Linked DNA regions of Ovis aries. The protein of the gene in region 1 purifies or fractionates together with the protein of each later gene. This does not show direct contact. Links are inferred from orthologs where the notes say so. Each region holds a gene or a part of one and is shown on either strand. Other genes may lie near its edges. The genes, in order: RRP1B, SRSF1 and LYAR.

Region 1 (3,646 bases):
TTCCCTGGGACTTTACAGTGATACCCGCCCACAGCAGAGCCCACTCCTGTTCCAGAGCCTCAGGGGTCAGTGAAACCCAAGGTGGCCCCTGTCACACAATGGTTTTGGCAAGTCTCTGGTGTTCCTGACTGAGAAGTTTGTCACCTTCCTCTGGAGGGAACCTGGAGCTGCAGACCTGGGCCAGAATGCTGCCCCTTGTGGAGGAAGACCTCCCCAGACCCTCCAACCATCTCCAAGAGGGGCTGCCAGGGAAAAAAGAAAACTTCTCAGATGTTCTCAGTTAAGGAAGATGAGCAGCAATGACCACTGGGTGGTGGGCAGAGGCTGGAGAGCCCCGGGGACGTGACACAGGTGCTCCAGTGTCAGGGAAGGCCTGAGGTGGGAGTGGACTTCCTGGATCCCAGCTGAATGGGTTTTTGCCCTCAGACCTCCCACTGACCCCTCGGAGGTCCTGCGCTGTGAGGCCTGGCACAAGTTGTGCCCGCGTCCTGGGGAGGTCTTCCTCCACAAGGGGCAGCATTCTGGCCCAGGTCTGCAGCTCCAGGTTCCCTCCAGAGGAAGGTGACAAACTTCTCAGTCAGGAACACCAGAGACTTGCCAAAACCATTGTGTGACAGGGGCCACCTTGGGTTTCGCTGACCCCTGAGGCTCTGGAACAGGAGCGGGCTCTGCAGAAGTGCTGCAAAAAGCAGGAGCCGTGGGCACGCATGCTAGGCAGGGCAGGAGCTGGCGCTGGGAGGCCCAGGGGGTCATGCATCCAGCCGCGCAGGCTGTGAGGACTGCCTCTGCAAGGAGTGGAAGCAGCCCAGGGAGATGACGGCTGCCCTGCATGGGCGCAGCCACACGCATGCATGAGGAGGAGGGCGAGAGCTGCACACCCAGAGTCTGAGCCCTTCTATCTGCTCCAGAGAGCCAAGAGGAGCAAAGCTTCCAGTGAAGAAGAACAGGGCTAAGAGTCTGGGGCTTCTCCTGCCAGTAGAGCCCAGGACTGGCCAGGAGCTGGAGGAACATGAGCTCCGCATGTGATGGGGGCACCCTGCCTGTTCACTCCATGGAGGTGGAGTGCCCACTGGGCCACTGGGGCGATCCCCCAGCCTGATGCTGGCCCTGTCACACCTCTGATCACTGGGGATGGGGGTGGGAGGGGAGGCACTGGACGCCTCTGAGACAGGTCACTATTTACTCCTTGGTAGGTGTTAGGAGCCATGACGGCTCCTGGTCCAGGGTCTGACTGCCCCCTGCCCTGGGGCCGAGGGGGCGGGGCCCTGACACTCCTGCCTGGGAGCCCCCCTCTGCCTTACCAGGGCCGGGATGAGCTTCATTCCTCTGGGCTCCACTGAGTTTGACATCTCCTTCATTTTCTTCCTCTTTTTCAAAATGGCAGCTTTCTGAGCGCACGAGTCATAAAGGTCAAGGCCGCTGGGCCCTCCACTCTTTTTCTTCAGTTTCCCACCTGGGGGCAGGGAGGTGGGGCAGTCCCTTCTGTCTGCTGGGTTGGCAGGGGGCCCTTCCCTCTGGGGTGGGGGCCAGGCCAGCACAGGCAGGCCACTGCCGTTGACCAGCAGGGCTCCCAGCTCCCGCCTCTTCTTCAGGACAGGGGCACCACTGGCTGGGGCCGCCTGAGGGGCCACCCCCTCCAGAGATGATGCTGTTGACTCCAGGCCCTCCACCTGGATCCTTGGGCTCCTCTTCCTGGGCCGTTTCCTTTTGTTGTGTGAGGAGGGCAGCTCCGAGCTGCTCTGCTCCAGGGTGCCGGGCATGGCCAAAATTCCCAGCTCAGCCCCACTCTCCTCTGGGGCTCTTTTGGGACTGGCCTCTGGCTCCTGGCTCCCATTCTGTACTGGGCGCGTGGCTTCCCCACTGGGCCCTGTGCATTCAGCCTGGAGTTGCTTCTTCTTCTTCTTCCTCCTCTTTTTCTTTGGAATGCCACCTTTGCTCTCTTCCTTGGCAGGGGAAAACGTGGTTCCTAGAGACACAAGTCAGTCAACAAGTGCCCAGTGCCCAGGGGACCTGCCAGGGTTGGGGGTACCCACAGCATGTCGCCAGTCCCCGCCAGGCCCTTCTCTGTGTCCTTGAACCCCACAAGCTTTCTCACTTCCCCATCTCTTCCCCTCCTCAACCATACCCGGAAAACTTCCTGAGGCCTATTTTGATGTAAATAGATCTGAAATAGGATTCAGATTCCTACTTATTTTCAGGCCCATATCTGGTAATAAAACAAGTGCCCCGAAGGGCAACGTCCACCTAGGACGTCCACATCCCCACCCTCTTCCTGCATGGGGAGTCCGCTATGCTTCCACTTCAGCAAGGCTGGAGCACGGTCCCCAAACAGCACAACAGCTGGAGAGACACTCTCTATACATCTCGGCCCTTCAGAGTGATGGCTCTCACTCTGCAGTGGCCTGTGTGGATATGAAAGGTGCTCCCTGGGCCATACTGGCCCACCGCGTGCTGACCGAGAGCTCTGCAGCTCACCTTTCCCTTCTGCCATGTCTGTCTTCTCCAGAAGTTTATTCCCTTTCTTCCTATGTGTTCCTTGACTGCGGGTCTGGTCATCTTCGTCAGCAGTGGTATCCTCAGCAAAACTGAGGTGAGAGAGACTGCCTGCTGGACACCAAAGACAACGTCTGGTCAGCTTTCTGAGACAAACATGGCCCTGCCCCCATGTGGGTAATTTCAACTCTGATTCCTGCCGAGTCCCTTACTGCTTCTCCACCCCCAACCTGAAAAGTTGCTGCTGCCGGAATTATAGACTATGCTCTGCAGGTTTCTTAGCTGAGGTGAGGTCAGGGACTGTAGACCCAGGGTGACAGCCTCTAGAGCTCACCCCACAGGGTTCGGATGTGCCACCTCCACATCTCGGCAAGGCCTGTGGGACCCCCATTTGAAGCACCCCAAATGCACAAGAGGCGGGGGCAGCAGACACACCCACCTGGCTCAAATGTAACCCAGCTTCCAAGGAGCCGTTCCCCTCCCTGACCCCGGGGGTACTGGAGGGAAGGGATGGAGGCCGACTGATCCCAATGAGAGAGACTCTGACATTGACCTTTTTTCTTCAGGAAGGCTCAAGCTGGAATCCACCTGTTAATCCCCACCAGCCCCACCCCAACAAGAAGAATGGCGCCCAGCTCCATGGTGCCCATGTTCATTGAGAACATCACCAATTACAATCTTCTGATTTTCCTCACCTTCAGAGAGATCTTGGAATCTGAAAAAGAAAACAACAAAGTTTCCTAAAGAAACTGCATCTTCCTGCCCCCCATAAACACATGCACTAACCTTTTACGATGTAAGATATGCTTTTCCTTAAAATCTTTACTGAGATATATAATCCACATACCAAACAATTCACCCATTTAAAGTGTACAATTCAATGCTCTATTATCAATGTATGTTTTTTCTTTTCCAATTTTCAACATATTTTTTATTACAGTATAGATGATTTACAATGCTAATTTCTTTTGTATGGCACAGTGACTCAATTATACACATGTAAGTTATTTTTCAAATTCTCCTCCATTATGGTGTATTGTAGGATATTGAACACAGTCCTCTGTGCTATAGGTTAGGACCTTGTCATTTTCCACTCACTATGTAAGAAACTAACGTGTAAGGGACACCTGGAGTCTGTGAAGTCACTTTCCTT
Region 2 (4,192 bases), on another chromosome or scaffold:
TGCTACCCCCCTAAGTCTAAACTAAATCTAATGCTCCCATTTGTAATTTAATTTGTAAATTAAAAGTATTTTAAACATGAGTCAATTATGAATACTAGTTTAAAGGGGAAGGTGAGACTTAAAATTATTCCCAACTAGATTATCTACACCAATATGTTGGAATTCTATATTTTGCTTTCATTTTGTCTTTAAAAAATGAAGTAGCAACGCTATATCAGTCACACAGAGGACATGCAGATTTAGCAGTATTGATATTATACTCTATCTGGTTGGAATTAAAGACACCCTGTACCCACATGTACACCAACAGCAGGTCACACATTAACAGTTGTAACTAAGCATTATGACAAATTAGCCAGTTCTTCCCACATTAGTCCCTATTAAAATAAAAAAGGGAAGGGAGCAAAATAGTTACAAAATGGGCAATGTAATTTTGCCACAATTGCCAAGGTTTAAAGAGCAAAGCAATTGTAGCTAAAGGTAACTGCATTAAGATGCTTACAAGTGTTTTATGGTAGATGTATACATAATCAATTTAAACCCTTGCCTTTAGTATAAGGTCAATACTGCCAATTTCATCTGTGACAATAGCACTTGGAGTCATACCATTGCCTCCATTATTGATCTGATCCTCCTCAATCCTCCTTTTGACAATCCTAAAATGATTGAAATGTGCTCCACAATCCTTAATCCAAAGCATTCTTAATCCATCTCTTCAGATATGTCTACAGAAAGACACATGAAAAGCAAGATAAACATAAGAACTTCCCCAGGTAAGATAACCACAAACACCCCCAACATCCCAGTTCACACAAACCAGAGCAGAATAGACATTTACACAATATCACAGTCTGAAGAGCATGGAGAGTTAACTAAATTTAAACAATCCTGGCTATGACATCACTTAAAATACAATTTATCGACATGAGGGGAATGTAGATGTTAGGAGCAAGGGGTATTACACAAGAATGCAATTCAACACTTTAGCCCATTCTGAACAAAACAGTTTGAATTAAAAAATGAAAAGATTGTACTGAATAAAGGAAAACTGTATACAACATGGGTTCTACAAAAAAGTGTCACCAATCATCTTATGTACGAGAGCGAGATCTGCTATGACGGGGAGAATAGCGTGGTGATCCTCTGCTTCTCCTTGGGGAATAACTTCGACTCCTGCTGTTGCTTCTGCTACGGCTTCTGCTACGACTACGGCTTCGAGATCGAGATCTTCCATAACTTGGACTTCTGGGCCCATCAACTTTAACCCGGATGTAGGCAGTTTCTCCCTATTGAATAGACAGAACTTTCGATTGAAAGATCTAAGTTTTCACCTGTCTTCAGGCATGCTGAATGAATACAACGTAATTTAAACCAGAGGCACTTTACTGGGTTTACTTGGACACCCTTGCCTGAATCTTACCTTCAAATTCCACAGTTAAGACCACTGTATCCAATTCTGGCCAATAAAAAGAATAAGTGTATAACCTACCTCATGAGATCTAAACTTAGTGTTATCCAGTTTTCGAACTGCATAGGTCATATCTTCTTTCCGTACAAACTCCACGACACCAGTGCCATCTCGGTAAACATCAGCATAACATACATCACCTGCTTCACGCATGTGATCCTTTAAATCCTGCCAGCTTCCACTTGGAGGCAGTCCTGAAAAAGAGTTTTTTTCAACAATTATCCTAGTATTTCACATTAAAGTTAAAATTTACATTAGAACCAAGACTACTTTAAAATTAATGATTAGTTTTAACATCCTAGGTTAATGATTCAAAATTCTAGAATTAAAAGCCCCAAATTATTTACAAAGTAATGATCTTCATATTCTAGACACTGCAATCTAATTCGTTAAATCTCAAATACAGTAATTCCTGGTTACTAAATTCATCCATGCGACTGAAATAATTTAAAGACCTACCATGAAAGCTAGCATTTGTCAAACTACGCATGCAAGGAAAACTTTAAAGTGTAGGATCTGTCCAAAAGTGACATCGACCCGCGCGGAACGGTCAACTTACCAGAGACAACCACTCTGTTTTCAGAACGCCTGGATGGGGGGCCATAGCGGCCCCGGGGAGCCCCGCCACCTCCACCCCCGCCGCCGCCTCGGCCTGTACCACGGCCACTTCGAGGAAACTCCACCCGCAGACGATATCCATCGTAATCATAGCCGTCGCGACCGTACACCGCGTCTTCCGCATCCCTGCGTGATTACAGAAAGCCGAAGGGTAAGAAAAAGGGCCGGGAGGGGTGGCCACCTCCGTCGGGGAGCCAGCAGCGCCCCGCACATGCGCACCCGGGGTGGAAGAGCCCACATGCGCCGCATAATAGGGACGGCCCCTCCCCCACCCAGAAGCACGCCAGGCTCCCGACCACTACAGCAGCCCTCAGCGCCTCAGTTTCCCGCTCCGAGCCCGCGAGCCGGCTCCGGAGACGCCCGGGGGACCCAGTCACCAGGGAAGCCTCACCGACTCGGCTCCTCACTTCACTCGTGCGCGGCCGACTCGTCTTGCTCCCAACCTCAGAGCCCACGTCCCCATTCTCTCTAAGGCCTTGGAGCACTCCCCAACTACTCCAACCTATATCCTCAAGGCCGCAAGTCCCTGGCCGCCTCACCGCGGGTCCTCGAACTCAACGAAGGCGAAGGGCGGTCCTCCGCGGCGATTCTTCAGGTCGATGTCGCGGATAGCACCGTATTTGTAGAACACGTCCTCAATGTCCTTGGTTCGGATGTCTGGAGGTAAGTTCCCTACGTAGATGCGGCAGTCGTTGTTCCCTGCCGGGCCACGAATCACACCACCTCCCGACATGGCGGCGACGAAAAGCGCGGACTCGAGAACAGGCCTTCCCACCAAGCCTAGCGAACGGCAGAGCGAGCCCGCCGCGACACCACGTCTCCCGCGGCCCCTCCAAAATGGCGCCTTTATCAGCTCGGCGCACGGATATGGGGGGGAGGGAAGAAGAGAAGCGGGAGGAAGCAGCTATTCGATCTCACTGCGCACGCGCAAGAGCGTAACGGGTGTGCAGCGAAAGGGACGCTGGCGCACGCGCGACGTCACCCTCCGCGCGAAGGGAAAAAAGTTCCCGCGTTCCCGTGGTGCCGAGAGCTTTGCAAAGGAAGTGACCGGCCCTGTGGTAAAGATTTAGGGCAGAGCCCTTGTAAAAGAGGGTTATTAATCTTGTCGAGTCCTAAAGAATAATCAGTTTCCCCAGGAATAAGTCTCTTAAAGCAAAGGCGCTTTGGAAGGATTTAGTGAAACCTAGCCTATAGCTTTATCCCACAATGCTCTGCGGGGTTAACGGCCTTGGGCGGGAAAGACGCCCCCGGGGGCGGAGTCAATGGGGGAGGGACTGGGCGGTTGCTCCGGAAACGGGCGCGTCTTAGGAGACTGCGCCCAGTCCGGGAGTCGGCGTTGTCTGTGATTCTGTGCAGAGGCAAGCCATCACTGTGTTTCCGCCTCGTCTCCTGTGAACCTGTGCGCTGCCTAGACGACTGTGTAATATAGGGGAGCCGAGCTTAGATTCCTTAGATTCTACATCAAGTACCGTTCTACCTTCGGTTCAGCACCAAGCTTTGTATATATTTAATAACTACATTCAACACTGCTTGTGTTTGTTAGTGGCGGCGATTCCTGCTCTGACCAATCGTTGGTGGTACCAACCGGGACCCAGATCTCTCTCTTTTTTCATCGCCTATTACTAGGCCCAACGCAGCGGAAAGGTGCATTGAAGGCTGCAGAATGAATGGTGCCTGTTACTTCTCCATCCTTTTTCAAAGAACGAGAAAAAACACACGCGCCTGCGTGTGTGTATGCAGAATCCTGAAGTTCCTTGTTTTGAACTCATTAGCAGGCCTCTCAAGTAATATAAATGAGCCCAATGAACTTGTGAGAACTGCTGTGGCCGCTGGAGACCACAGTTGCTGCTCAAGACTGATCTGCTAGTCAGGTCCAGGGAGATTAGAACTTCTACATTTTTTCCTATAGAGATATCTATTTGAAATCTGGTTTTTTATATGAAATGCTGGAACTTTACATTATTAGTGATGAATTCAAATTAAAACAACAAACCTGCAGTCATAAATATGCTAAAACAGCTAGCTCTGCACCCTAAGGGTAAGGATGATTTTCTTCAGTTTATGTATGTATTTGTAATAGTCCCTCTCCTCAGGGCTGTAAGGCAG
Region 3 (3,646 bases), on another chromosome or scaffold:
TCAGCAGTAATTTTTAGTTGTCAGTATATATGTAGTTTACCTCGTTGGTTGGTTAAGTTTATCCCTAAGTATTTTATTCTTTTTGATAGTATTATAAGTTGAATTGTTTATTAATTTCCTCTCCAATTTGTTCTTTGTTAGTGTAGGGAAATGCAGCTTGATTTCTGAGTGTTGATTTTTGTATACTGCAACTGCTGAACTTAATTAGTCCTAAAGATTCTTTCTGTGCAATCTTTTGGTTTTTTGACCTGTAAGATGACCATGTTATCTGGGAACAGAGATCATTTTACTTCTTTCTTTCCAGTGTGGATGCCTTTTATTTCTTGCCTTAGTCATGGGGAGATAGTGGAGAGGAAAGTCTGGTGGGCTGTAGTCCATGGGGTTGCAAAAAGTCAGACATGACTTAGCAACTGAACGGCAACAATAAATTGCTCTGGACTTTGAGCACTCTGTTGAATCTGTAAACATAGGCATTAACCCAGAATCTGGACTTGAGGTGTGAACCCAGTAGTTTGGCTTTCATGAAACTCATCTGTCGATTGTTTATTGCTTTTATCTTCCTTCTCTGTAGAAAATTCATGAATTAATAAAAAGACCCAATGTCAGCCCCAAAGTGAGGGAACTGTTAGAGCAAATTAGTGGTTTTGACAACGTTCCCAGGAAAAGGGCAAAATTTCAGGTATGTATTTGACTGGACTTCCCTGAATGGAGGGGATACGGGCACTTCAGTGACAGCTTCTGTGTACCTGTCAGCATATGGGATAAGTGGGGTTTTTTTCTTTTTTCTTTTTCACCCATTCAGAATTGGATGAAGAACAGTTTAAAAGTTCATAATGAATCTATCCTGGAGCAGGTGTGGAATATCTTTTCCGAAGCTTCCAGCAATGTAAGTCCGATCTCACTCTAGACTTGCAGTGTGGCAAAAGTGGTTAGTAAAAATGAAATGGGAATGTCTTATTTTTGGAGGTCAAGACAGCCTTCTTTTTCAGAAAGCCTCTTTGTGCCTTCATTAATGGGAAGGAATACACTGACTGCACTGCAGAGAAGATTTCCTTATTGTGCAGAGAAAGGTGTTTAATCCCGATGTGTGACAACAGTATCAAACAATCCCGATGTTTGATAGCAATACCAGCTGACTAGACTTGATCGGCTTAGACACCAAGTAGTGGGATGATTGGAAAAGAACAGATGCTTTGGGTTTCTGACAGACCCAATTTGAATCCTTGCTTTGCTGTTCACCAGGCGTTTGCTCTCGGACATTTTATTTAACCTCTCTGAGCCTTTGTTTCCTTGTCTTAAATAGAGGTGGATCGTTAGACTAAGTAGGGGCTTCCCAGGTGGCTCAGTGGAAAGAATCTGCCTGCGGTGTGGGAGACCTGTGTTTGATCCCTGGGTCGGGAAGATCCCCTGGAGGAGGGCATGGCAATCCACGCCAGTATTATTGCCTGGGAAATCCCATGGACAGAGGAGCCTGGTGGGCTACACAGTCCATGGCGTCACAAAAGAGTTGGACGTGACTTAGCGACTAAGCAACAACACAAAAGACCCAGTACTTACTGTGCCCAATACGTGTCAGGCCCTGAACAAAAAACAGAAAAACATCTCAGGAGGGTGATAGTGGCAGGAGGGAAAAATAAACAGGGTGAGGATGAGAGAGGGTGACCAGGTATTCTGGTAGGTGTGGGGTGAGGGGACGTGTCTTAGTATTAAAGCAGATGAGGGAGTACAAGCCTCCCAGCTCATGCCCAGCAGGGCGTGGGCGCTTGGTCGGTGCTGGTCTTCTTCCTTCCGGTGGCCAGAGGGATTGCTTGGAGCACATCAGTAGACCACCTTCCGAGAAGATGTTTTGATCCACGAGGCCCCAGATGTGAAATACACCTGCAGAAAGTTGTAGTGTGACATCTTGTAGGCATGTCCTTGCTTCCGTTGTTCAACATTTTTTCTCATTAACTCAGTTGCACTTTGCCCCTACTTGGGGCTTATATCCCATCTGAAGACATTATTAGTGTTTCAGAACAACAGTGGGGTCCAACTGGTCTTTTATTCTCCTCACAGTTGTCAGCAGTTGATGTGCTTTATGCAGAGAGAATGGTTTTGACCACAAATTGGGATAAAAAATGAAACTTTCTCTTGGCATGCATCTAGCATTTGTCTCTAAACACACAAACTGGCCCTTGAAACCTTATAACCAATCATTCAATTGGCACTTGTGTGGCACCTGTTTTTTTAAAGGTTATTTCCATTATTTGGGGCTTCCCTTGTGGCTCAGCTGGTAAAGAATCCGTCTGCAATGCAGGAGACCTGGTTTCGATCCCTGGGTTGGGAAGATCCCCTGGAGAAGGGAAAGGCCTGGAGAATTCTACAGACTGTATAGTCCATGGGGTTGCAAAGGGTCAGACACGACTGAGTGACTTTCATGATCACTTCCATTATTTTAATTAACAGTCATAAAAGTTTGTGGTTATTTAGCTTAACTCCAGAGTCCAAAAAATAGAGTTTTCCAATTTCATTTTTGAAGCTGTGAATATATAAGAATTAAATAAGATAACCAGTAAGCAGCTCGTGGTAAACTCTAAGCTCTGCAAAATGTAGCTTGTCGTTGCTTTTGGCCAGTGAACGTCCTGGCATGTGCCCGGAGTCGGAGGTGGAGATGGTGCCAAGGCTCTGGGGGTGCTGGGCTGGAGGCTTTGTATCCTTCTCAGGTGAAACACTCACTGCCCCAGTGCACAGCGCTCCTGGTCCCTGTGGACCCAGCCTTCCTTGGACCTGGGTCCCTCCCTCCAGAGCTGTATTCTGGCAGGAGAGACCAACACCTGCTCTAAGAGCTGATGCTGGGATGTCGGGTGGTGACACAGGCCAGGAAGAAATGGGAGGCAGAGGACAGGGCAGAGAGGGAAGGAGGGGAGCGTCTCGCTGTCAAGACAGAGGCAGTGAAATCGTGTCTGAGGAGACCACATTGGAGGAGAGTCTGGAATGAAGTAGGAAGCTGATGGAGAGTGAGTTTGTTCACTCATTGATTGAGGGGCTGCTGGGTGGGTGACTGTGTGTCTCCCTCCCTCCTTCCTTCCTTCCCTCCTGTCTCCCCTCTCTCCCAGAAGCTGGGGTGCATGCAGGGGGCGGGCTTGGTTAGGAAGTGGAGGCGGGGCAGCAGCCGGAGACTGAGCTGAAGGGGGCAGGCCTGGGGCTGCGGTGCTCAGACCCTGGTGGGTTGATGCTCACAACACACTGTACCATAGGATGGAACTTGTAGGACAGGGCGAGGTGTCCTGGTCCCCCTTCCTCCTGAGTCCTTTCTGAACTCATCGCCTGCCTCCCCCACATGTGCCTGGATGATTTGATCTCTGAATTCTTCCTGAAAAAACTCCAGTTGTTTAGTTTAGTCTCAATACCCTAAATACTACTCTTTGAGCCTACGACTGGGTCTTACAGGCTTCGTGAACTCAGCAGAGTGCTTGTACAGGAGTGAAAGCCAGTCCTCCTCCATTTGGTCCCTTTGTGACCTCGCCTCTGAAAGGAGGAGGACTGCCACCTGGCCAGTTACTTAAGAGACGGAGCTTGACCGTGAGTCCCGGGGTTTGCAGGACACCTGCAGCGGCCCCGGAGCTGCAGACGCATCAGGGCTCACGGAGCAGTTCAGTGAATTGCT

The links.
Region 2: the proteins of RRP1B (region 1) and SRSF1 purify together in Homo sapiens (co-immunoprecipitation; 3 studies listed by BioGRID and IntAct, with this or other methods). This does not show direct contact. The link is inferred for Ovis aries from reciprocal best matches to the Homo sapiens genes RRP1B and SRSF1.
Region 3: the proteins of RRP1B (region 1) and LYAR purify together in Homo sapiens (co-immunoprecipitation; 3 studies listed by IntAct, with this or other methods). This does not show direct contact. The link is inferred for Ovis aries from reciprocal best matches to the Homo sapiens genes RRP1B and LYAR.

What each region holds. Positions count from the first base shown.
Region 1 is NC_056054.1:264,427,127-264,430,772, reverse strand, and holds part of RRP1B (ribosomal RNA processing protein 1 homolog B), read right to left. Parts: intron 3,209-3,646; coding exon 3,189-3,208; intron 2,608-3,188; coding exon 2,476-2,607; intron 1,967-2,475; coding exon 1,302-1,966; intron 1-1,301. UniProt on the Homo sapiens protein: Positively regulates DNA damage-induced apoptosis by acting as a transcriptional coactivator of proapoptotic target genes of the transcriptional activator E2F1.
Region 2 is NC_056064.1:8,495,118-8,499,309, forward strand, and holds the start of SRSF1 (serine/arginine-rich splicing factor 1), read right to left. Parts: upstream 2,929-4,192; 5' UTR 2,820-2,928; coding exon 2,626-2,819; intron 2,213-2,625; coding exon 2,028-2,212; intron 1,663-2,027; coding exon 1,490-1,662; intron 1,287-1,489; coding exon 1,092-1,286; 3' UTR 1-1,091. UniProt on the Homo sapiens protein: Plays a role in preventing exon skipping, ensuring the accuracy of splicing and regulating alternative splicing.
Region 3 is NC_056059.1:105,504,155-105,507,800, forward strand, and holds part of LYAR (cell growth-regulating nucleolar protein), read left to right. Parts: intron 1-571; coding exon 572-679; intron 680-802; coding exon 803-886; intron 887-3,646. UniProt on the Homo sapiens protein: Plays a role in the maintenance of the appropriate processing of 47S/45S pre-rRNA to 32S/30S pre-rRNAs and their subsequent processing to produce 18S and 28S rRNAs. Also acts at the level of transcription regulation.